Linked DNA regions of Oreochromis niloticus. The protein of the gene in region 1 interacts with the protein of each later gene in a pairwise test. Links are inferred from orthologs where the notes say so. Each region holds a gene or a part of one and is shown in the gene's direction. Other genes may lie near its edges.

The links.
Region 2: the proteins of waca (region 1) and traf3ip1 interact in a two-hybrid assay, tested with the Homo sapiens proteins (2 studies listed by BioGRID and IntAct). The link is inferred for Oreochromis niloticus from reciprocal best matches to the Homo sapiens genes WAC and TRAF3IP1.
Region 3: the proteins of waca (region 1) and nfe2l2a interact in a two-hybrid assay, tested with the Homo sapiens proteins (2 studies listed by BioGRID and IntAct). The two-hybrid records come from large-scale screens. The link is inferred for Oreochromis niloticus from reciprocal best matches to the Homo sapiens genes WAC and NFE2L2.

Annotation. Positions count from the first base shown.
Region 1 is NC_031974.2:29,244,004-29,252,602, forward strand, and holds the start of waca (WW domain-containing adapter protein with coiled-coil), read left to right. Parts: upstream 1-5,335; 5' UTR 5,336-5,429; coding exon 5,430-5,445; intron 5,446-5,646; coding exon 5,647-5,701; intron 5,702-7,085; exon of another isoform or gene 7,086-7,284; coding exon of another isoform or gene 7,285-7,325; intron 7,326-7,527; coding exon 7,528-7,558; intron 7,559-8,367; coding exon 8,368-8,560; intron 8,561-8,599.
Region 2 is NC_031987.2:3,857,196-3,865,430, forward strand, and holds the start of traf3ip1 (TRAF3-interacting protein 1), read left to right. Parts: upstream 1-5,168; 5' UTR 5,169-5,195; coding exon 5,196-5,450; intron 5,451-7,564; coding exon 7,565-7,633; intron 7,634-8,235. Other genes in the region: agr1 (anterior gradient 1), read right to left, coding at 565-614, 1,616-1,699, 2,208-2,271, 2,369-2,445, 3,139-3,191, 3,469-3,532, 3,721-3,820.
Region 3 is NC_031987.2:17,010,540-17,019,106, reverse strand, and holds the start of nfe2l2a (nuclear factor erythroid 2-related factor 2a), read left to right. Parts: upstream 1-5,176; 5' UTR 5,177-5,343; coding exon 5,344-5,379; intron 5,380-8,360; coding exon 8,361-8,567. Other genes in the region: agps (alkyldihydroxyacetonephosphate synthase, peroxisomal), read right to left, coding at 365-552.

The DNA of each region.
Region 1 (8,599 bases):
ATGTCTTTACATGACTGTGCGACATTGTCTTTGAACTAATTATAAAAGAAAACCATGTATGTAGAATTTACCGTACATATTCCTGTTAGCGCAAAGGCTTTAAATGCAAATCAAATTAGGTAAGAGATGTAGCTGAACAGGAATGCAACTAAGCACGTGCATGTCTTAATTGCGTAAGCCCTAAATGAGAAGAAAACAGCATCCCACAACAAGATATCACTTTCCTACTAATCATGTTTAGACCTTTACACAGTAGCACATGGCTTGACATTCTCCCTTAGGAGAATTATTTTCTCCACTTATTTTCACTAAGTGCTGTCATTCATTCAGTCTCTGTTTTCTCCATCAAAAAAATGGGCCACAGTGAGTAAGGAGGGCTGCATGCCTGCACAGTGAGCGCAGCGTTTCATGTACACAGGCTGGAATGTGATGCAGTTGACCATCGGTGTCTGATAGCTGGCATCTGCTAGGTGGGCTCATTCCACCGCAGCACAGCAGAGGCTTAGGTGGTACTGAGAGAAACTCTACACCTCTGCAAGGCAGGGAGGGGCATGAGAACACAGCATCACTAATGCTCATCAACCATGACCCCTGCAAGGGACCCCGACGAGCACATCAGTTTAATGTATCCATCTGGGATTGGCAGAGCGGCAGAAGGCTCACAAGTCCACTGCAAACTCACAGATTACAGAAAGGTTGTCACTATAGACAGACCATGGATGAATGGTGTAATGAAAGAATGACTGGGGTGGGTGGGTGGATGGATGGATGGATGGATGGATCGATGGAGAGATTGGTGCATCATTGGATAACCTGTTCTCAGTATACATGCTGCTTGGATCATTACAACAACAGCAGTGATGTAGTAAGAACAGACTGAGTCAGAGAGGATCACTTCCACTGATGTCAGAATCGTTGATCTAGTTCCTGGAAGCTCGCTTTAACAATCTCATCACTTCTCAGCTGTCAATTTCACAACATGGGTTGCAACATGTGTGATCAAAATGTGCTTTATAAGACCCTTGACAAATCTACATGTGAGGTGTAAAAATATTTTGATCAGTCTGGCTTCAGACTGTATAAATGGATTAAGCTAGTGAAACAACATACTTGTATTCATATTTCATATGATTCCAAGTTTAGCAAATGGCTGGCTGTAAAGTAGGTTTGCCACGAGGCAGTGCTTGAAGACCTGAGCGAAGAGAACGCAGCGCTTGATGAAGAACAGTACTGCTGAAACACAATGACTTTTAAAAGAATCTACAATAACACCATGTCTTTCTTATGATTCTGTGGATTTTTTAGTCTTGTGCTTCACTTCAGTGCCAGAGGAGCTGCACACTGTACTCCAAAGATTCACAATTAGCGGACACCTGCCTACTGCTTGAATTAGACTTCATTTATTAGCTTTCATATTAAATATAAGCAATTCTTGGAGGTGTTTAAGAAGAAAACATTTGTGAAACACTAATAAACTTATTTTCCCAGCGTTTCTCTTCCAAGTCAAATGCTTACAGCTGTGCTTAGACTGGTGTATGAGCACAGCTGCTCAGACTTCCTTCTCCCATGACACCAGGCTTCTGCTCGGGGGATGCTGAGATGTTTCCAAGCCAGCTGAGAGACACAGTATATCCTGACTCTGCCCAAGGGTCTGTTTCCTCTTTGGCCATGTCTGAAACACCTCACACGCTGACCTTGTGATTCTATCTCAGATGGGAAACTTGTCAGCCTTGCCTTCGCAAATGGCGCCGTACGACAAGGGTGATGCAACATCCGCTGCTGCGAGCTAGATTTTGGTGTCATTTTAGCCTGTCGTGCACCTCTCAGTTTTTTGTAAGCACATGTAGGTTCTGCGGCTGCTTTTACTAACATTTTATTGCTCCACAAGTACAGAAGCTTGTGGATTCACAGATTATACAGAGGACAATATTGCAACAGTTTGAAAAAAATGAGACTTTGCTTCAAGTTTTAACTTATTCTCATTGTACAGCAGCGCTGACATGAAGGTTTTGTCTGAGTAGTGACACCTAGTGTTCAGGAAAATACTGCAGAAAGTAACCACGCCCTCAGTGCTGGTAGAACTGCTACAGAAATGTGGCGACATGTGTGTTGCAACACAGCCTAACAACAGGTATAACGGGTCCATAAGTGTGAGTCCAGGCAGGCATAAGTGTCTTTCAGTTGCTAACATTAGCTCATGGGCAGAGATAAAGCTCAGATTTTAAACTGACCAATCAAATTGACAGCTTTGCTTCAAGGCTCAGCTCTCTCCTCATAAAATCTGAATAGAATATGCAGATGCTGCACCAATCCATCTGTCCACTCTTTCCCCCACTTGTGAACAAGATTCCAGGATACTTAAAAACCTGCAGCATTAACAACAGGCCCAGGACCCCATTCTCCTGAAGCATCTCCCACAGGACACCCAAGAGAGTCACAGATACATGAGAGATATAGAGTGGTCAGGCAAACTCCAATGAACTGTCTTCACACAAGGCAATTTCCCATGACTCTGAGAGATGATAGTAATCCAAACTAATACTTGGATTAAGAGTCTTAAACCACTGTATCCCACCCACCCTTAAGCTCCAAGAAAATAGCCTCCCTGCTGACAAGGAGTTCCGAACCAAATCTCAGCTTTGTCTCCGGCCGTGGGCACCGCACTGAGCTGCTGATAGGTTTCTCATCAACATAGACCAGGCTGCTGTAGGGACAGGAAGCGTTTGTCTCTGTCAGCAGGTTGCCACGGTGAATTCTGGGAGTTAAGCCTTGTACGCATAGCATTCTTAGTTCCCACATCTCCCTCCCCCAGCTCAGTGACCATCCACGCCAGGAACAAAACCCTGGGAATGCGAGCTATGCGGAGCTGCAGCTCGGAGACACCTGTTCAGGCAACCAACACGGGTCAAACTCTCCTACACGGAGCCTCGTCTGAGTCACAGCATTTGACTCCACCCTAACCTCCGCTGCTCCCATATACACACTCCAGAGAACTATGTGCACAAAAAACAAAAGAAAATCATCTGGCAGCAGGCATTTGTACAGTCAATTTCCAGGATGCAAACATTTGTACCTTGACCCCTTCAATCATCACCTGAACCCACTAACCATGACAAACCTGATTTAATGAAACCCTCTGTCATGATGCCCGACTGCTGACCTCAAAAACAAGCTGGAGTAATGAACTTGACTAAAATACTTACAAAGTCTCCTGAGAGACTTTTCCTGCCCATTTGGAATGCAGACTAAAGGCCTCCTACCTTTTTCTAGACCAGATTTTTAAAAAAAACACAATAACAAAAAAACTGGGTTATTCCCAGTGAGAGCACAATAGGTGGCCAAAAAAAACTGTAGATTAAACCACACAGAGGAATGTCAGCTCTTCAGAAAGTCCCCTCAGTGGCAGTGAACCATGAGAAAAAGAAGGTCATCCTCTTACCATCTTTTTTTCCTTTTCACTCTCAGCCAAAGCACCACAATGTGGTAAAAGGATACGAACAAAATCACTACTGAGTGATGGGACACAGTTCAGGCACTTTACCTGCCAGCAAGCAGTGAGAGGTTTATTTGGAATAAGGCCACCTAGACATTGATTTAAATTTGGAAAATCCTTGAATTCAATGGGATGTTTGCCAGTGAAGTCCAGCTTTCTTTTTAATGAACTGTTTCCTCCAAACATCACTGCACTTCCTCTTTTACATGACAGCCACATCTGCAGTCAGTGGTTATGAATTTAACTTTCAAGGGAATGAGTGACTCAGAGGAATGAGAGGAATTGAAAACAACAGCTTAATTCAGCAAATTATACTGGTGTCTTGGGTCCCTTTGACTTTTGGCCACTTCAAGAAACCCATTATAGGAAGATACTTTCACTTCTGGACTATCAGGCACTCTTAAGTAAAGATGCACAAAGGGTGTGAGCTATAATTATATGAAGGCAGAGCAATAAGGATTATGAAGGAATTGTGTGAGACAAAACACACACACACACCTGCCTGATCATGATTATGCACATTCAAAATATGCAAAACCAGTGGCGGAGCTGGGAGGCGGTGGCAGCTGGCCAAGTGCTGAGTCTCCCGGTGTGGCAGCCCAGTCAGAGGCTTGGCGATGTCAGCCAGTGTCAAGCTCCGTGTCACCATACTTGACTTCGCAGGGCATAAGGGCTCTGTATTCCCTCTGTCCACACTACAAGGCGTGGATAGAGGGAGAAGGAGCTTTACATTGTAGGTGTGTGTGCTTGTGGAAAGGTTGCATTTATGCTTGCTTTGTGTGTATTTTACCAGGTTGGACTACCTGTGTCGTGTCATTAGGTTGTACATGTAGCCGTGCATGTTGCTATCACTAATAACAACTTATTACGGTCATTTCGAAACATTGTTGTGGGCCCTGCAACACAGCTGCGTTCACTTCCCCACGGAAACCCCACACGAGAAAAGCCGTCAGGTGAAATTTTTATTTTACTACTAAAAAGGCGATATTAGGAAAGAATTTCACATTTCAATGCGCATATAATGTCGGAAGAAGGGGACGAGGTTAACATTTCTTTCGAATAAATCAATTTTACCGTGTAAAATTTGGCACAAGTCCCACTTGTATATTTTGTAGGTTGGTAACAACTGAAGTTCGCTGTTAGGTTAGCGCATACAAAGCAACTCCACCTCTACTATACTGTCACACGGCTAGTCTTGCTACCTATAGCCTTACGCATTTCCCCATGGAACCACTGCAATATCCAAGGCAGCTTTTATTTTAAATACAAATATGTTAGTTTGTTTTCATTGTTCTGACAGCTGTGAGGATAAATAACGTGATGGTTCTACTCACTCGGAGTTCGGAGTTGAATGGCCACGGTGTAGCTACTCCACTGGTTCTTTGGAGGGCAAAACTTTTCACTGGTTTTGTTTCCCACTTTCAAAACCGTCTGTTCTCTCCTTTGTAGACCCCTTAACTCATCCCCGCTCTCTGCGGTGTTTGCTGAGCTTTCAAAACGTTACGCCTCAGCAGACAGTGCCACTCTCCAAGAATCGTAAAGTGCTCTGTCAAGGGGCTGACTTGGAAGCGGTTTGTATATTTAGACACAGCGTTAGCGGGAGGGCGTGCAACAACACAGAGCTGCTCTCAGATCTGTGCCGCGCGGGGCTTTCACCACTCAGGCAACCCCATTCGCTCGTTCATTGGTCAGTGTTCTATCGAGGCGTGTCCAGAGATTCATTCTACATTTTAATTGGCTTGTTTTTGTTGTCCGTCATCCACAAATGCCTTGTAAACTTGCCTTTCCGTAGTAAGCAAGGAGGCACAATTACAATTAAAAATCAGGTCGGTGAGGAAATATGTTCATGGACAAATAGATGGGAAATTTACAGAAGTGCGTCCAAAGCAAAGGTTATTTGTGCCAATTTAATCATAAGGAGTGAACGTCTTGATGCATGTTCAATCATCCAGGTAAGTAAATCTCCAAAGGTTGATTCTGTTCATCTGGACATAAGGAGTGAAGTAATTCATTTTCATTTATCGAACAGTAGCATAGTCGGACTTTTTTGTTTTGTTTTGCTTCGAGCCGTTAATGTTTTGTCTAATGTTTTGCCAGTTTTTATTCCCTGGATCTCAGTGAAACAGTTTGTAATCTGTATCTTTTTTAAATAGCTGGAAAAGAAATCAGAACTAGAAAAACCACAACCCAACAGAATCTAGTGTTCAGGTGAGTTTTTGTACCTTTCGTACTAGAGCCATAAAAGTGGTGTGATACCTCCCCCCTACCGGCCACATTAAGATAGAAAGCAACAAGCTGCCCAATGACGGGCCAGAAGTGATTTGATTTATTTCTGCTTTATTCTTAAAACAAATAAACAAATACGTAAATAAATATATTAATTAATTAATGGAATTTGAATATAGCTCAGAGACATCATACACATGGACACACGCAACACTGGGCGTGTGTGAACAAGTTGCTGAAATATGCTAACAATAGAAACACCCCCTGTTTGTGGCCTCTTGTCCCCACATTAAATTGCACTGTGAGCCAAAATGCTTAACTGCAGCTTCTTTTGTCCTCGGGCTTGGGATATGTTGTGGGCTGCATTGTCTGGGAACAATGGACTCCTGCAGCCCCCTTGTGACAGCTACTCAGACTTTAATACAACCTGGTCAAACTCTGTGTTGGGAACGTAGTACGCGTTTATAATTCAGTTCATAACGATTCCTTTGGGGATTTATATATTTATGTTTGGATTTGTTTTTTTTATCATTACTATATCCCTTTCATAAATTTTTAACAGACAGATTTTTTAAAAAGTTGACTGAAAGCAGAATAGTACAGTAATAAAAAATGGCCCCTGTTTCATTTGTTAATCTTACAAAGGAAAGTCTGTCATTCAAAATCTTCCCAGTCGTTTGTGGTATACCATAAACCGTGTTTTAGATAGTGCAGTTTTACTGATTGCTGACGCTTTGATGAATATTACCTGCGATGTCAAAGTACAACCACTAGATGTCAGGAGAGAACAAGTCACTGGTTCTCAGATCTGTAAACATGATATTTATATTCATAATCGTTTATTCAGTATGGAGGACCACAAGAGCCACGCGCATCAAATCCAAATTCTGGGTAGAAAATATCCGATGCAGCAACCCAGATTAACGTTTTTGCAAGTTTTGAGGGGACTCCAGTCGCTTTGTGGCCCGGATGTTGCCATAGAAAGGGGGTGTGTGTAGTTGCAGCGGTTGCAGCTAGGTTGCCAGGTCTGCAAAAAAAATTGAAGTTAATGTATACTCGTCATTTTTCCAAATACTTATCAGTGACGTCATAGTGCTGGCACACGAGGTGATTTTAATGCGCCATTAAAACATTTATGTGTAAGTTTTACATATCCAAATTCGGTAATGTAAAAGTAAAATTAACAGTATGAGCTTAACAAATATATGTACATGACAGAGAGCAACAAAAACTCACACATATAATGTTATTAGCATGACTGGGTAAACATTTTCTGACTTCACGAAGGCGTGCTCCTAGTGGTGGATTTGGCCTATCTGGCAACCCCGGTCTCAGCTCAGCTTCTCTGCTACGTTTGCTCGGCTGTTAGAGACACGGCTGTGAGCCAGAGTGGGAGATGGACTGAGTGAGGGCGCTCTTTCGACCAGTGCAGCCGATTTAGCATTGCAATACCCAGAAGCTAGGCTGAAAAATAACTGGCGATTTCAGGTCGCTGAATCAACACGAAAACATAGTGCAGTTATCAGTCTTTCACATCCCACTCCAATCACACTAACACGGCATTGATGGTAATGTATGCAAGGAAACAACCGAGACTCGGCGATGGGTAAACACCTCCTTTTAACCCTACTTATTCAGATTTTTTTTTCCTTTTCCTCATAGCTACGCTTTGACAATCCGCCATTTTTACTGAAACCAAAATAACTGTGTGGAAACTTGTATCCCTCACTCGCTGCGGGGCTTTCACCGATTTCTGAACATTGACATTTGAAGCTTAAAATTCACAACTGGTTCCTTTTTCTTTGCAGGTGCGACCGAAGAGATTCTCAGCCCTATCAGGTACTTGTTAGCCAAGCGTCTCCTGCTAGCTTGCTAGCAGCAAATAAGATTAAAATGGACACTCTAATGCAGGCTTCTGGAGAGCACAACAGGCCCCAGTCAGTGCGGAAAATAACACAAAAAGTAGAAAGGTTTGCTTAAAACCTCCATTGAAGCCCTGTAAATGTATCCTAACGTTAGCATTGCTAGTAAAGACTTGACAGAGTGAACATATTCGTCGAAGTCGGCTGTTTTGGAAAAGGTACGGGCGAGTTTTATTACAGCTGAAAGCTAATGATAGCTTGTTACTGTTAGCTTGCTTGCTAGCCAGTCCGATTAGGGCCTGACCGCAATCTGTCATTTTAAGGATATAGCCAGTTAAGCTTCCTTAATATCAAAGTGCTTGACATTTATACAGCAAACCAGTGTATTCACTACCTAATTCAAATTGCGATAGCCAAGTGAAATGGCGAGCTAATACTCGTAGGTCGGATAAAATGTTGTTTACTTCGTCATTTAACATGTGTTAGTTTGCATGCATACGTTGTTATGAGCAGAAATACGGGCTAAATTAACGTGGCTGTTAAATATAAGCTTATAGAAGGGGCGAAGTCGATAAATAAGCTGCTCAATTTATACATATGTATTTCCTCGTGCTAATTAATTTCTGCATCATTGAAACTATGAATGAAATGACATGACAGTACTTTAAAGAGCTGAGGACTGTACTCACCATGGCTGCTTTTAGAAACCTGCTAATGGTGATAACAGAAGCGTAGATCTATTTTAAGTGTGAGGTTTTTAGTAAGGCATTTGATTTGTGTTTACAGACTCTCAAATACTCATCCAAGAGCCATCCAGGAGGGGACCACCGGCATGACAAGATGCGAGACTCTTCAGACATCACCCCTCCCTGCAAGATGCTCAGGAGGTCTGACAGCCCTGAAAACAAGCACATCGACAGCACGGGGCACAGTAGAGCAAAGGGTGTCCACACGCACCGGGCCAGAGACAGGGATGGAGGTGAGAGCGGGGAATAAAATGAGTTTAGAAAGAAATAAA
Region 2 (8,235 bases), on another chromosome or scaffold:
GATCAGAGGGTTGGTACATAAAGGGATGGTCATGGTCAACAACAATCCTCAGGCAGGCTGTGGTGTTTAAACAATGCTCAGCTGGTTCTAAGGGGTTAAGAACATTTCCCCACATCATTACACCACCACCAGTACCATGAACCTTTGATACAAGGCAGGATGCTTTATTTTGTTTACACCACATTTTTTGATATCTGTGGTTTTATCACACATAAATAATACTAAATAATCAACACTATGTTTTCTAGTGATTCTCACTGAGTTCTTTTGCTCTGATGTAATATTCACTTTCAAATTAAAAGTCACAACAACAACACAGCTCAACACTGCCTAATCATCTTCTTATGGAACAATACCATCATAAACAGTTCTAAATAAGCATTATCACTGTGTTTTTAATGAGTAGTTTAATTATATATTAAGTGTTGCATTAAAGTGAGAAAAACTGAAGATGGCTTTCTTTTCCTTTATTTTGGTTTTAATGAGCACCAAAAACATTTAAATAATTCAGTTCTGGCCACTGAGCAGTCATGTGTGGAAGATGCTGAGACGTCAGGCACCACGTTAGAGTTCGCTGTGCAGCAGGACTTTGGCTTTCTTCATGTTGTCGGCCACTGTGGACAAAGAAGGGACAAATAAGAGCAAGGCCTGCAGCGCTCTTACATGAGTGAAGTAGTTCAGAAATGAAACCTAAACCTAAGCTGCAGGTGCTACTTTTCCATTACTACACATTTAATGGCTTCAACTTCTTGTTTTAAATATTTTTTTTTCTTATGGGGTTTGTTTAAGAGATGGGAGATTTACTTTGTGCTTTTTAAATATATCTTGTTTGAAGTTTTTTAAGGTTATTGGCAGGGCACGGTGGCATCGTTGCCACTGTTGCCTCACACTCACTCCATCGCCTGGCTGGGGCCTTTCTGTGTGCAGCTTACATGTTCTCACTAGGTACAGTCCAAAGGGTTAGGTTAACTGGTGATTCTAAATTACCCATAGGTATGAATGTGAGTGTGAAAGGTTGTCTGTGTCTCTGTGTTAGCCCTGCAACCTGTCCAGGATGTAGCCAGATGGGATACACTCTAGCCAACTCTGATGGATGACTCTTATTGTGTTTAGATTTTAAATATATTAAAGACAAATGTCTCTGGGACCAACAACCACAAGGTTTGGACCTAGAATAACTCCCTGAATGATTTACAGTGACACAACAGTAATCAGCAAACACATAATGAATGCTGGTGCTTCAAGTGTGTTAATTGTGCTTTTAGTTTCCAAAGCCATGATTTAATGATTATATATCAGGAAGAAACAGTGTCACATACCTCACTTGCCTTCTCTTTTCCTCCTAAAAAATTAACTCTTCGTCTTTGCACTGCATTTGCAAAACTCCCACCTGTTTGGCTACTAGTGCTACAAGTCTGCTAAAGTTTCTCACTAACATCCACACGGAGCTCAAAATTCTTTCTGTCAGAACAATCTCATAAAAAAACTTAGTCATTTCTGTCAAAATATTGAGGAAGGGATACAGGGATTCAAGCTGTGGGGGATTAGTGTGTCTGCAGTCTGCTGACAGGTGAGCTGTGCAAACTGTCATTAGAGAGAGTGAACAGTCACTCACGGTCCTGGATGTCACTCGCTGTGTAGGTGTAGAGGTGGTTGCTGTACTTTCCTGTAATGTCTGTGCGCACAGTCATGGTTGGATCTGTAGAAAAACCACACACATGAACAGCTCAGAAAAGTAATCAGTATTATGTGACAGCTGATGTGCATTTTGTAAACTGAATGTGGTTCTGTAAAATTCATTATCTAAAACAATGAGTGAGAAAGCAAAAAGAACCTTGGGACTATCCAAACCATTAGATCTGGCAGGGTTATGCATGCTTTTGTTACATCTAGACTGGACATCTGTAATGCACTGTAGACTGCAGTTAGTCAGTCATCTCGTGCTCATTTACAATTACTTTGAAATGCTGCAGCCAGATAACTGAAGGGACAAGAAGGAGAAGTACTCCAGTGTTAGTGTTAGTGGCCTTTCACTGGCTCACCGTGCATTACAGAGACTCCAGCATGAAGGGGTGCTGTTTGTATTTAAAGCCTGGTTTAAATGGTTTTATTCTGTGCTATGCATGTATCTCTGTTCAACCTCAGACAAGGAAAGTAAACAATCTGTTCTTCTATATTGAAATTATATTAATAATGTAAGAATTTACCAACAAAGAGGATTCTGGGAACATAGTAACCGTCAGGTGCCAGATTCTTGTCCGAAGTCTCTTCCTGTGTATAACAATATAGTACACATGATGCACATGATTTTAATAATAAAATAATTATATATATATATATTCTGCATATATAACATATCTTTAATTACCACCACGTTGAGCATGATGAAATCCTCTTTTGCCATTTTCTGGATAGTCTTATCCGCAACAAATGCCTTCTTCAGGTCTGTTGAAATACTTTGGTTTAGTATTATATTTAGACTGGCTCTCAAATAATTATGAATGAATTATGAATTATATGATCTGGAAATATTAATAAATGTATTCTGCCTAGAAAATGTCAGAAGGAGGTAAAGCCTGTTGAGTTATTACAGACTGCATTTATAAACTTGCCTAACAGGTCAGAAACAAGTCTGGCAGGTTGGACCTTTAGAATATCTGTGTTGAGCATTCACGTAAGGGAATACACAACACACTATAAATATATGAATCCTGTCTTGTTAAAATGAGGACACATTACTAATAAAAAAATATATGCAACTTGCTGCAATCAAACGAAATGCTTCAGTATTCTGAGACTTTCAGAGGGAGGATGCAGAACGGGCTGCTTTTGGTCCACCCTAGCAAAACTCAAAATTTAGAGCCAGACTTCACTCTGTAGGTGGTCGTCATTGTTTATGGGTTAAGAAATGCCAGTGGAGACTTCCACTGAGCTTATTTCACAAAACCAGCTGAGTGATTTATGAACATAACTCTCACATACTTCACTGCCTGCTTTGTGGGTATTACAGAATGCACCCATTGTGTTCCCCGTGAAAACAAACAAGCCCAAGTCTGGGTGAGAAAGACAGCGCAGGAGGTGCAAGCCTATATTTTTTAATATATATGTATACTTAATAAACCAAAGTAGCAGCAGTACCTTTACTGTGTGGGCAGTTGTCTTTATGATGAATGACCATGAGAGGTTTCTGACTGTGAGAGCAAAACCACAGAGAAAGAACTCAGTACATTCCAAAACACAATAAACACAGTGAAGGGTGTGAAGGCAGTCTTACACAACCAAATGCCTTAGAAAGCAAAGTCCCCGTGCTGGATTTAGAGACAGATGAAGATTAAAGCAATAATGTGTTTCCCTTATGGAAAAGTAATGGAGCATCATTCCAACGCAGAAAGACACAACAAAGGAACAGACTTATCCAAACAAAATAAACTGACATCCAGCACTTTTACCCAAGGTTTAGAGTCCTACCTTTTGGCCATTTTTGCTAGGCCATCTTCATAATTTTGGGCCCAGTTAATACCACCTCCCCATCCTGCAGGCAGGAAATAAAAATACAGTTTTAAGTCAACAAAACTGCTGCATGTTGCCAGTATATTAACTATGTTCCCAAACAAGCAAAGTTCTGACTTTATTATGTCTGACAGCTATAAATGATCTTATGCAATGGTTCTTTAGACATTAACTGGAGCTGTGCATATTGAAAAAAGGAGATTTGCCCACCTCTTGACAAGGACTGACTCTTCACTTTCTTTTTAGCTTTCTGTTCCCCAGCACTGGCACAGAGGCCAATGAGCAAAGCAAGCAAGACCCAGCGAAGCATCGTTCCTTGTCCTTTCAGAGAGCTGCTGTGAAAGTTGGCAAATGAGTTCCATTGAAATTCAGTGACATTTATACTTAAATACAAAACACAAATCAGTTTTAGCTTGACTCACATTTGACAGATATATAAAGCTGCACTGACTCACCAAACACGCCTAACTAGGATTCACAAGGCGGTATGCAGAGTAACAATGAAGCCAAAGGAGCAAGCAAGCAAGAATTCATTAATGGTTCCACCTGAGACCATGTAAGTAAAATGGTTTATAAGCGGTAATTCTACACATAGTTACCACACTTGTATTTGTAAGGGGGGGGAAAAAATCAAGTCTGAATTTATGTGAAAAAGTGTAATTTGAAATAATTATAATTAAACCCCCACCAGTTCCTTAATTTACAAACCTTTTTCAAACTTTTAGTCAGGCATCTAACCATTTGAAAGAAATCATAATACTTTTAAAAGTCAATGAAGATATTCAGGTAGCAGGTAAATGTCTTACCTCGTCAATATGAAGCAACAAGCATCTGCTCTGACCCTCCTATGTGCGCTCTCTTTTGTCAGATTTTTTTTTCCTATCGAACTTGTCAAACAGGTATATCATAATAGGCTTAAAAAAACAGAAGAAGCACGCACATGCGCACAATTGTGCTGTGTAGTGGGATTACACCAGCAGATAGGGAAGCTAGCATTAATTTGGCTATTATCCCTTCTGTAAGTTTAAAAACATATATCCTTTATGGGCTGTTAGATGAAACTCGAGTCTATGGATTGAGAATAAATAAATAAATTTAACTAAATCAAAATAACTTTTTATTTTAATTTAAAATTTCGTTCTCTTAAAAAGTGTAAGCCTGAAAGTACAGTTGTTTCTAAAACTGCTTTCTTTCTATGACTCTTCCGCGTGTTGGTATAGAGGAAACTCCCACTCCATGCCAGAATAAAGACAGGGATATATGGCCCTTTTTTAGGCCATTTTTATTTTTATCCTGGCCATTGTCTCCACAACTTATAGGACAGGCAGCGGAGTATTTTTTCTAAAACGAATTGATTTCTGTTGTTGCAAATACTGATACCGGAGCTCGGTCCAGTGTAAAGGAATAATTCTTTCCACCTCTGCAATCCCCAGTACTGTCATCTTTATAATCTCGCTTCCAAAACTTACAGTTTATGAATGCCCTGTTTTATTTTGTATGTATATTGAATGCTTTTATCTAGTTGTTGCTCTATATAACCACGCTGTTCTGTTTTGGCGGCTATAATAAAGAATTTTCTATCTACTTAGCCTAGCCATTTATCTAGCCGATTGTTAGTTGTTGCTATGGACACAAAGAGAGCGCTTAGCAACAGTAAGCCTTTGGCGCAGGCGCAGTCCTTTTTAATGATGCACTGTGGGATTGCAGGACATAGACATAGCAACCAGGCGACAGAGTCACTAAGTTTTTCACTCTTAGTTAGTTTCGTGTATTTGTTCTTGATTAAAAGTACTTATCTTGGCTTTTTATTTACTACCATGAATGCGGCAGTGGTGAAAAAGACCCAGGACACGCTGGGCAAAGTGATAAAGAAGCCGCCGCTCACCGAGAAACTGCTAAGCAAGCCTCCTTTTCGATACCTGCACGATATCTTCAGTGAGGTGAGACTCAGCTGCTGACATTACACTCGAGAAAGCAAAGTGGATTTTATTTAAGGGGCACGACACTCTTCTTCTCAGAAGCCAAGCCTAATGCCACTTCTAAGTTAAAAACACAGACACAGGAGCTAGTTAGCCAGCTAATGCATAAAGGTTAGCAGGAAGCTAACCAAGTAGGTTCGCGAATATTACGGAACATTTTGTAAGCTCCAATTTCTGCAACTTCAGATTGTCAGTAACACTAATCCTGATAGTCAAGGGGTGCATTAGCAATTCACTTAAATGACAGGTTGCGCTTTATTTAATGTGGTGGGTTAGCAAGTGAGCTAGTTGTTTCAGCAGCGTCGTCTTGTTGCTAGGCACGACCTGAGCCCACACACGAATCAACAAACCGTTTTCCCCGCTGTTGGCTTAAAGGAGGGCACCTGCCAGCTAGGATGAACCTGTGCTAGGTTCTTGAATCCGTCACGTTGAGAACACAGATGCTGATCAGCTTATGATTACAGCTAAAAACAAGCACAGGCTGTGCTATAATTGGTGCCTCTTCTTTGATTTCCCTTCATTTTTTTTAAAGCTACTCGCAAGCCATGCATATATGATGAAGTTATAGCCGATGTCTTTCTGGTGTTTGCCAGGAAGATCTGTCTTCCGTGGCCTAGAGTAAAACACAGTAAAATGTCTGAGTTCTTGGCAGCTCAGACTCTTCAGTAACCCACAGCAGCTTTTACTCTCAGATGAAGAGAAGTGCAGATACAGATCAGGGTCAGCTACGTACTCTAGTATTTTATGTGCATTAGAAAAGCAATTGTACTACGTGAAAGTTTTCTGGTTCAGAATGGGTCTAGGTTGTGATTACACCTGGCACTTCTGACACAGAAAATAGAAACGCTTTTATTGTCCTGACTCCCTATGCGCTCTTTTCTGTTCTCTTTCCTCTGCCCCTCCCTGAGCATGCTTCTGTTGGAGGATTCCTGTTAAAAGGGAGTTACTCCATCCTACTATCACAAAGTGCTTGATCATAGGTGGTCACTTGATTGTTGGAGTTCTTTAACACTGTAGGTTATAACCTTGCCATGAGGGAATTTGGAGTACACAAATAAACTTGAATTGAATTGAATACTGTTTCTCTAAGCCATTTTATAAAGGCCAGTACTTAAGTACATGCATGAGAGAAGTAACAGGCAGTATAATGGGATGAAAGGAAACAATATAAGTACAGTAAAGGTGATTTTCCTCCTCAGAACAGTTTTGCCCCTCCCTTAGTTAGATAAATCTCATCATTGGCATTATGAAATCTAAGATTGCTGGAATTTTAAAAGAAAAGACTAATGTCTAATGTGTAAACAAAAGAGGCTTTAGTAAACCTCAAAGGAAAAAAACTTTCTCAGTTTTTAATTTTTTTAGGTTAACTGCCATCTGTTTAATTAAGAGTCAGAAATAACAGGACGATATATGAATGTATTCTAATGTTATCTGTAGCCACCCTTCCAAAGATCCATTCTGAGTAAGTACAACTGCTGCTATAGTATCATGGTTCTTTAAACACACACATACACACACACAGGAAACACTGCATCATCTCCACGGTCTGTTGTCAGTGTCCTGTTGTAAATACACTGCTGATCTTTATGATCAAACTTGTTTTGCTCAGTTGCGGCTTCTTTCATTTTCTTTTTCAGCATTTTATATGCACAGTTGACTCCTTTTACATAAGGTGTCAAGCAGAGTAAAATCTGTTACGCTCTTCTCAACAGAGGTGCCAACTCATTCTCACCTGTTCAGCAGTCTTATATTTCACTCCAGATTCATGCATATTTGATAAAGGGAAGAGTGTCGGCATGTTCGACTCCCCTCCTCTGACTAGGAATATGTCTGAATATGACTGTAGGACATAAACTGTTAAATCTATAAATGTTTTTTTTGTTGTTGTGTTACTTTAATGTTTAGGTTAATTCTCAGCAAATATTGTTTTTTTTAGCTCACAGGTGAAAAGCACTATTCCTGCACATACATGCAAACAGACTTTGGAGTGGACTTCTCGATGTACAGAAGCTAAAAATGGCATATAGTTGTAGTTTCATGTCTGTTTAAAACAACCTTTTTCCCACCATTTTCAGGTCATCAGGACTACTGGTTTTATGAAAGGCCTGTATGAAGAAACCGAAATGAAGTCAGACAGTGTAAAGGTACGTCTGTTTGACAGCTATGCTTATTAATATGACTAATTACAGTCTTTCCTCGATTTTAATCAACTTTTTAATACAATGGTGTTATGTCCTAAGAAGCAGCCTTGCTCATTTATGAGGTCACCCAGGCATTACACAGGACCGTGTGTGTGTGGCGGGGGGGGGGGGGGGGGGGGGGGGGGTAACCCTACCCTACCCGTTGTCTGTATAACACGCTCTTGAGAAGGAACGTCTGCCAGTATGTGACAGAGAGAGCATGTCAAGGTGTCAGAACTCAAGGCTGGTGTTGGCAAGTTGACCCCAGATTAAAACTGGATGGGAGGATGCTACAGCTGGAGGAATCTACTCAGTTAATCTAATATAAATGGTGTTTTTAAAAACTTGATTCCTTGTGACCCAATCGTCACAGTAGCAATCTGCCACTGTAAAGCATCCGAGTTAAACTTAAACACTGTTAAAATTTATTGAATCGTGTTGATAGACTCACATAAAAGTATCCAACCTTACATTTCCAAACCCTTCATGGTTATAAATAAATAAGCTTGCTGGATATCAGAGGCGTTTAAGACTCAAGTCGAACAGCTTACAAGAAAACAAAAATG
Region 3 (8,567 bases), on another chromosome or scaffold:
GAAAGGAAACATAGTTACATAACAAATAAAAGAGTGTACTTCGAGAGTGGATGAGAGTTACAGCTGGCAAACTTTGAGAAAGTCGACTTCTTCAATACTCCTACAGTTAGCCGCACCCACCCCTTAGCAAATGAATGGCTGCTCTGTAGCCTAGAAACGTTAGCTATGAAGCTAACCAAACTCCGCTTCAGCTACGTCTCTAACAGATATTTATGTCTAGTGGGGAGACAGCAACCAGCCTACCGCTGCACGCCACCCAAATGCCTCATGTTTAGCTGGTAATGCACTTAAGTTTGACTTAAAAAGTACCCAAAACCACAGCGGATAAGCCCCCCTCGTCCACCGCTCCATCACAGCCTCGTACCTCCTCCTCGGCACAGTCCTCCGCTCGCTGGAGACATCTAGCTTGTCTCCCTGGGCTTTGCACTCCGCGGCTAGGATGCCCGAGTTACCCTCCACCGGTCTCTGTAAATGCCCGGCAATTACACTCAGTCTTTGCTGTGCAATGCGTTGCCTGTCAGAGCTATCGCTGCCGCTGCTGTTGGACGCCATGCTGCTTCCGTGTTTGTACAGGGAGGGAGCAGATCCGCGAGCTCCTGTCAGAGGTCAGAGCAGGGAAAGTGTGGCACATTCAATGCCTGTAGGAAATAACAAACCCCCACACGCGAGTGTTAAATGTAATGTTAGGATTTTAAAGCATACAATATAAAATAAATGTTGTTATTTTGGGTACATTAAATTGTTATCAGACACTGGGCTAGTTTATACCTGAAAACGGTAAGTCGATTAAGAAAAGCATAGGTCAGAGCATTATTTAAGGTTATTTTGAAGATATTTAAACTTGGACAGGTTCTAGCTTCTCAATTTAAGCATTTTGCGTTTTTAAAGATGTTTTAGACGTTTAGACGTTTATCTTTTGGAACATAGATTAACATAGATTAAGGATTTTCCGCATTTTAGGACCCAAGAAAAGAAAACTGTTCACGGTTGTAGGTGATCGGGATTGTACTTGTGCCTACAATCTCCATAAGTTTCATACTATAAATAAGTGAATGACAATATTTTATGTATTTATTTTATTAATCAACCTTTAAACGAACCGTTGACATCAATGCAATGCTCCCATTTCATTCTGAAAGGAGTTAACGAGAAGCGTTTGAATGCACCATTTAACGCGTTTCCCAGCATGCATTGCAACATTAGCATAGACTGTAAAGGGCTGGTTGCATATGTTCCACTTACTGCTGAGACATCTTTTATATGGCTTAGCCCAGTATACAGTCTGTGCCTAAGATAGTAAATGCAATTAGTAAATTATATAAAACAACGGTAACCCTTCTGTTTGGAATATTAAAGAGTTTATCGGATTTATAAAGAATCACTTATACCCTACATTAAACACCATTTTGACACAAATGCATGAAAGTGAACAGTGGAAACATACAATTCAGCAAGTCTGTAAGTTAAGTATCAGAATTTTTTAATTGTCTCATTTTTAGCCAGATATATGTAGGACGAATCCAAATTTAAAAATGTAAACTAATCCTAGAACATCTGTAATGATTTACCTTTACTACAGCTGCATCGTCACCTGGTCAAAATTGCTCATGTGTGCACTTTTTTTTGATGTGGTTGTAAAAACAGAGTAACTTGAAACAGTCAACACTGTTTACCTTTCTGCTTCACCTCCACTCAGTCACCTGACCAGCGTGACTACCACTTCCATATGGTCCACATGGCTGCTTTTAAAGTAATGATTTGACACAAAACGACAGCAAATACACCACAAGCAACATTATTGTGAAGTACAATTCAATCAGGATTAAAGTACTGAAGGAAAGAGACTGTAAAAAATGGATTAAAATAGAAACTTTATTTTAGACAACATTTGCCAACAGAAACAATGAGACATTCTGTAAACTAAAATGTCCAGATGTTTGAGGTTTTATTTCCAAATGGTTAAAGTATTAACTTCCAAAACAAAGTTCTGTAATGCACTGACTGCGGGCAGTTAGAGTCTAAGTGTATCACAGAACTTTATTTGGAAAGCCACAGTGCCACCTCATAGGTTTGTCCTTGTGTGGAACCTTATCCTCCTCATGACTGGGTGCTCCTTCAACCTGCAGCAAGGCACAAAAGCAAGGGAAAACAAGACAGCCATGTTGTATTATCTTTTTTTTAATTTTCACTATACTGACTCCACTAAAAAAATATAACAGAAAACAGCTCAAAAAGGCAGAGCTAAGATCTAAATGTGTTAAGGACGGGCCTGAAGAAAGGCGAGCTGTTTGGTGGTTCCTCCCTAGAGTCACACAGGTATATAGCAGGCCAGGTGGTGTCTTTTTACACGCTGCTAGCAATACAGAAATGATTAAAGACCTAAATAATATTTGGGTGTGTGCAAAAGTTGATCCTGCAGTACACCCTCCTCAAAAATGGTTCTTGAGTGTATTTACTTACCTCTTTAGTCTTGCCCATCTGGTTGCTTGCAAAGGTTACATTTTAAGTCTACGCTGGCTGGCATATTTTAAGTTTTACAGTCTTGCTGCTACCTTTTTGAAAGGATTACTTCACTTCAAGTACCACAGGGCATAAATGACTACCTGTTGAGCTTTAACAACTTTCTGAATTAAACAGGCCCTTGAGAATAACCCATTTACAAAAGAGTGATATGATAGCAATGAGGAAAGTTCAGAAGGCCAGCTGAGCTCCAGGAGTATTGAGTTCTAACAGTTTGAATGTAGTTGGAAACTTGGCACTTCATCAGCAACCAAATGACAGCAACTTCAGAAGTGCAGAAATAACGTTCAAAATCAACACTGCAACGTGTCAACCGGAATCTTAACGATTATTTCTTTAAGAAGTACGATTTTAAAGGCAAAGTGAGCTTTGCAAGTCATACTGTACCTGATATAGGTAGACACAAGGGACCAGCTGCAATCCAACACGAGGGGAAAACAGTCTAGATCATAAAACGCAAAAGATGAAAGCGAACTGAGGACTTTGCACGCCACGGATAGATTCACATTGCAAACGCCTGTTTTCACTGCAGTTGATGTCCATCGGCGGACTTGCAGCGCTCTAATCGTAAGGTGGCCGCCGCCGCTTTTACCTTTTCTTCCCCCAGTGCTGTGCAGTTCACTATATGCAGCTGGAAGAATGTCGACGTGGAGCTGCCAAACGTGAACGCGTATTCAGGAGCGCGCACGAGAGGCAAAAATAGGCTTTTTTAGTGTAATTTCACGCAGTGGCACAGCGAGCTGCACTTTAGTGCGAGACGCCTCACAGATGGGTGCTACAACCGGGAACAAGCCTGTCTTATTACACGGGCATATCTGAAAAGCCACTTAATGGCACCTCGGTTTCGAATTCTTACTAACGCCGAGGTTTCAGAATGATTCAAATGTGATTAAGAATGAGGGTTTTTCTTTGGGTTATCCTCCTCTTAATTTTCTTAAATGGGCGAATCTCAGATCGACTGCTACAACGTTTATTACATACCTGTGCTCTCCACCAGTGTGGAGAGAAGATTTATATCCTTTAGCCTACTTAGGAAGTGGAAAAGTAATAATAAATCATAACCCACATTCCAATTTTTGGAAAGGTCCGAGGAATTACCAACAACATTTAGCTGAATGAAAAGTAGTGCTTATGGAGAATGTCCTCTTTCATACTCTTAACTTGTTAATGGATATAATTTGCTGTTAAAATAGTATTTTAATGTTCTAGTTTGTCAAGGTGGATCAATGTTTCATGTTGTTATTAATGTTAATAATCTACAGCACATGTGGTGAAAGAAATTATTAGACTGTACCTTAATAAAACGCTGCTATAAAACACAGCAATATGACCCAGAGTGATCCAATATCCTTATGGTTTAGGATATTATACTATTACTACTATTGATTAACTAGTGGCTATCTATCTATCTATCTATCTATCTATCTATCTATCTATCTATCTATCTATCTATCTATCTATCTATCGTAGAAGTACTAAATAGCATAAAATGCTTAAAAACTACTGCAATATATACTATAATATGGTAATTGCCCAGTAAATCGAGTAAAAACCTGCATATTTCCTTACAAAATGTACTGAAATGTGCAGTATTTCGGTAAGCTTAGCAACTTTTGGCTAAATAATAACAATATTAATATAACCTAAGCAACTTTTCTACACTCTACACTCTACAGTAACTTCATATATGTACCAGTTCTGAAGAATAGCCTTTACTGCATTATAATGGTTAAAATTTTAATATTTTTTTCTCCACTACATAAAACAAACATATATATCGATAATGGAAAGGAGTTACAGATCTGCAAATCTTTGAGATTCCTTACTTAGACGTTTTAGATCATTACGTCAGTTTTGTTTAATTTTATGAGAAATAGTGTAACAGGGAATAATTTAGCTTGTAGCACATTTAGTTAACCCACTGTAATGATTCATTACTTGACAGATGAAGATTTTCCAATTAGAACACCCAGTGAATTATGGCAGAGTCTGACTCCCACACCCTCAACCTCCTCCCAAAAGATGTTAGTAATAGTTCCACCCATTTGAACTAGTATCTCTTATGCGCCTACCTCCCTTCCAAAAACAAACAGACAAATAAACAAACAAACAAAACCTAACAGAGGTCATTCTGCACTGGGGCTTTTAACACATATTGGTATTTTGCCGCGAACAGGTCTGAGCTTCAAAGTAAAACTTTAAATGCAGGACTGTAACTTTAAACTGGGTGTTCTGTTTCTCTCTTTATGATTCTGTGATGGTCTACCCAGCTGCACAAGGAACATCAGGGCCCCAGGGTCTCCAGCTCCACGCCGGTCACGGTCACCAGCAGGGGGAGGTATGCACCAAACAAAGTCTGGTCATGTCCGTGACGGAGTTAAAATAGAAGGTACACATTATATATATTTCTTTTATGAGCTGGCTTATATAACGCTGACTATAAACGAAGGTATTACATGTTGCAATTTACGTATTGGTTAAAGTATCATAAAACCTTTAACTTTCACATAAATATATTGTGTAATTTTTTTTGCGTGGCAACTATTGTGTTAAATGGACTCCATGCGCATGCACACACAGTCCTTATCGCCAGCCCTCATAGGCCACCGCGAGGGGGACGATCCCGGTGGGGAGGGCCATCATTTCCGTAATGCTCATTAGGTTTGGAGGAAGCAGCACTTCTCGCCGCTCAGCTCCCGTGACGGACTATATCGCCTCCAGACCGCTCGCCATTTTTATATCCAATTTTAAGGAATAACACACAAATTTTTCAGTCATAAGGAGTTTTTTTTTTTTTTCAAAACCTCACGACAGAGCTCCATAATGATGGAAATGGAGGTGATGCATTCCGGTCAACAGGTAAATAGAGTATTTCTCAAAAGTGATCGCTAGAAAAGAGTAGACAAACTATCTGACATTGACTGTCAACTTCCTTTTTTAATGCGGGCTATTAGAGAGATAGACTTTATTTAAACTTTTATTTATCAGTTATCATAAATTACAGCTAAATTACAGTACTAGTGTATTTACGCCGGTGTTACAGACGTTATAGCGTTAAAAGTGTGAGGTAGACTACGCCGACAGGCTGTCTTAGAGTTAGACATGTTAACTCTCTTTCAGTTCTGCAAGTCATCCACTAGTGACGCTTTTCCTGGACAGGAAAAAAGTCCCCATTAACAGAACAGGTTCAGATATTAGTGTTGTGATCAATTGCCCAAATAAAATAACAGGTTCTTTTTATCTTGGCAAGTTAGACAAACAGAACCTGGACTCTGTTGAAGCTTTTGCCGTAACTGTGTCATCATCTCCCCCTGTCCACCCCGCCCTCCTCCTCAAAGCATGTGATCCCATATCTGATAGCTTTTATAACCACCATGAATGATTTCTTTTACTGCTGCCTATGTCTTTGCTGCGTGTTTTACAGAGTTAATAAAAAAGGACCAACTATTAGACTAGACCTGTTTTCCTAGCTGTTTTATACAGTGAATGAAAACACTGAACTTGGTTGAACTTTATTTTTTCCTGTGACATGCCCTCGGATCTTCAGTGTTTCGCTAAGCTTGTCATAGGTAAGGGTCAGTGGAAGTACAGAGTTGACTGATGAGGGCCCAAATGGCTGTGCAGCTGTGTTTCATCATCCACAGTTGAGATTGGATGTCCACTGAATGGTGTTGAGGAAAGGCATGATACAACAGCAGGTTCTGGTCCCTCTTTCGGGCCCTGGGGTTTAACCGTAAATAAGTAAATGAACAACCAACACTAAAGGATTGTTGTTAGGTTTAATATGTATCTCTGGTAACTGTCGTTCTGAAGGCTCTGTGTGTGAAAGCTTCTTTGACTGGTATACACTTGTTGTCTGGCATCAAGGTGCAGGAAGTAGTTTTCTCAGCCTTTTTTTCCTCTCTTGTTCTGGTGCCAGTCCATGTCTTCTGACAGGTGATAGTGACACCATTACTTAAGCACGCCCACACTCACAGAGCCCAGTTGTCATTAATACAGAATGTGCTGTTTATAAAGCTGCATTATAACAACAGGCTAATTTAACAACCACACTGAAATCACTGACTGACAACAGGCTGTTTTTTGGCCTTGCGGTGGTTGTTTTTTCTAAAGGACTGGTGTGACTTGTCTGATGAGCTTATTAGGTGTGACCAACAGACAAGAGTGTTTTTTTCTTTTTTCTTTCTTTTCTTCTTTTTTTGTTTGTTAGAAAACATCAGCAACCTCAAGAAGTGAGTTTAGACATCCCACACAGACATTTTAAGGGACTTCCTCATTCCTGTACAAACCATAATGTCTAGTTGTGTGCTCACCTTCCAACCAGCGAGCAGCCTTAGTAATGTGTAATCCTTTAGTGGTCATACCTCTGATGCAACACAGAGGCAAAGAGGGTTAGTGGGTTCTTTTTTTTTTCTTCAGCACCACAGCTGTAGTCAGGAAAATGGTGTCAACAATGGCTTAAAGTATTTATAGATGCCCATATGCCATTATTATTAGTTTGCAGAGGCTTGTGACTCATCCTGTTTTTATTAAAAAAAAAACAAAAAAACAAGTGAAGAAAACATTATCTGACAGGGTTTTTCTAAACAGTTCCACATCCTCCTTATTGTACATTGTTCTGCTTTGTTCTTTATTCTCCCTCAGTTCCCTCTTGGTTTTCTCTAGGCTCTCTCTCTCTTTTTTTTTTGTATTATAAACCCAAGCTCATAAGTAATGTTTACACCCAAATCTGAGGAACAAACAAGTCACATGCTCAGAGTTTTTTTTTGTGTAAACCAGTATCGCGGGTTTATGTAACATCCTTGGGCCTTGTGAAACACTTTCCTTCTGTAAATAAATTCTGCTAAAAGCCCAGAGAAGGGGCCAGCATAATTTATCTTCAGACATTCTTGTTTAAAAAGGCAAATAACAATCAGCAGCTTAGGGGAAATCTACAGGAAATGGTACTAAAATGTCATCACATGCTCTGCCTAATGTGTAAATATATGTAGGACAAGACTATTGTTGTGCTCAGATAATTTAGTAGTACTTGTAATAGTTCACTTAAATACCTAGTGAGGGTGAAATTGAGGAAATAAGCATTTTAATTTCACTCAGTATGACATCTATGACCTCATAATATGATTAGGTACAAAGGTAGGTTGTAACCGCAGACCTTTCTGAAACCTTACGCTGTAGCCTTTGCCGTAACCGGAGCGCCTTCAAAGAAATGTAGCTATAGGTTGCCATCAATACAGCCGTTGCCATATACACCCAGGTATAAATGCAACACCATTATAGATTTACCGCATAATCATAAGTGACGAATTACAGTGCCAGTTTTACTGTTCTTTGTTTATATGTTTATATGTTCTTCACCAACCATAATACTGTATACTTAAACCACCTAAACACATACATTTAATGGCCACATTTTCTAAATGGTGTAATATGTGTGAACTTACTTGAATCTGAACTTCAAGTACTAGCTAAAAAACGATCCCTGACTGTGTGCGAGTCTGAATACGACAAACAAATTCACACTTCTGCGTAACTGGATAAGCTGTGACTACTTCCCTTCACTGGAAAAAGTATCAAATGAGGATATGTGTCTTTTGCTGGTGTGTGGTGACAACAGAGGAAGGAGAGAAATGCGTCCATTATTCATGCAGTTTCTGTCCCTTGACATTAGTGCCTGTGTTGTTGTCGGTGATCAGATACTGAGGGACAGGGTGTGGCAGGTGCAACAGTCACGCTTCGCAGCAGGGACGTTCTGTTTTGCTCCGATGCTCAGAACACTCCTATGCAGGACAGCATGGCTGCTTGCAACTCTGTTAACCGATCTGCGGCTGTCTTTTTAGGACATGGACCTGATTGACATACTGTGGAAGCAAGACATTGATCTTGGTGCCAGGCGTGAAGTGTTTGACTACAACCACCGTCAGAAAGAGCATGAGCTCCAGAGGCAGCGGGAGCTGGAGGAGGAGAAGAAGCTGCATTTGCTCCGGGAGCAGGAGAAGGCCCTGCTGGCACAGCTACAGCTAGACGAGGAGACGGGAGAGTACATA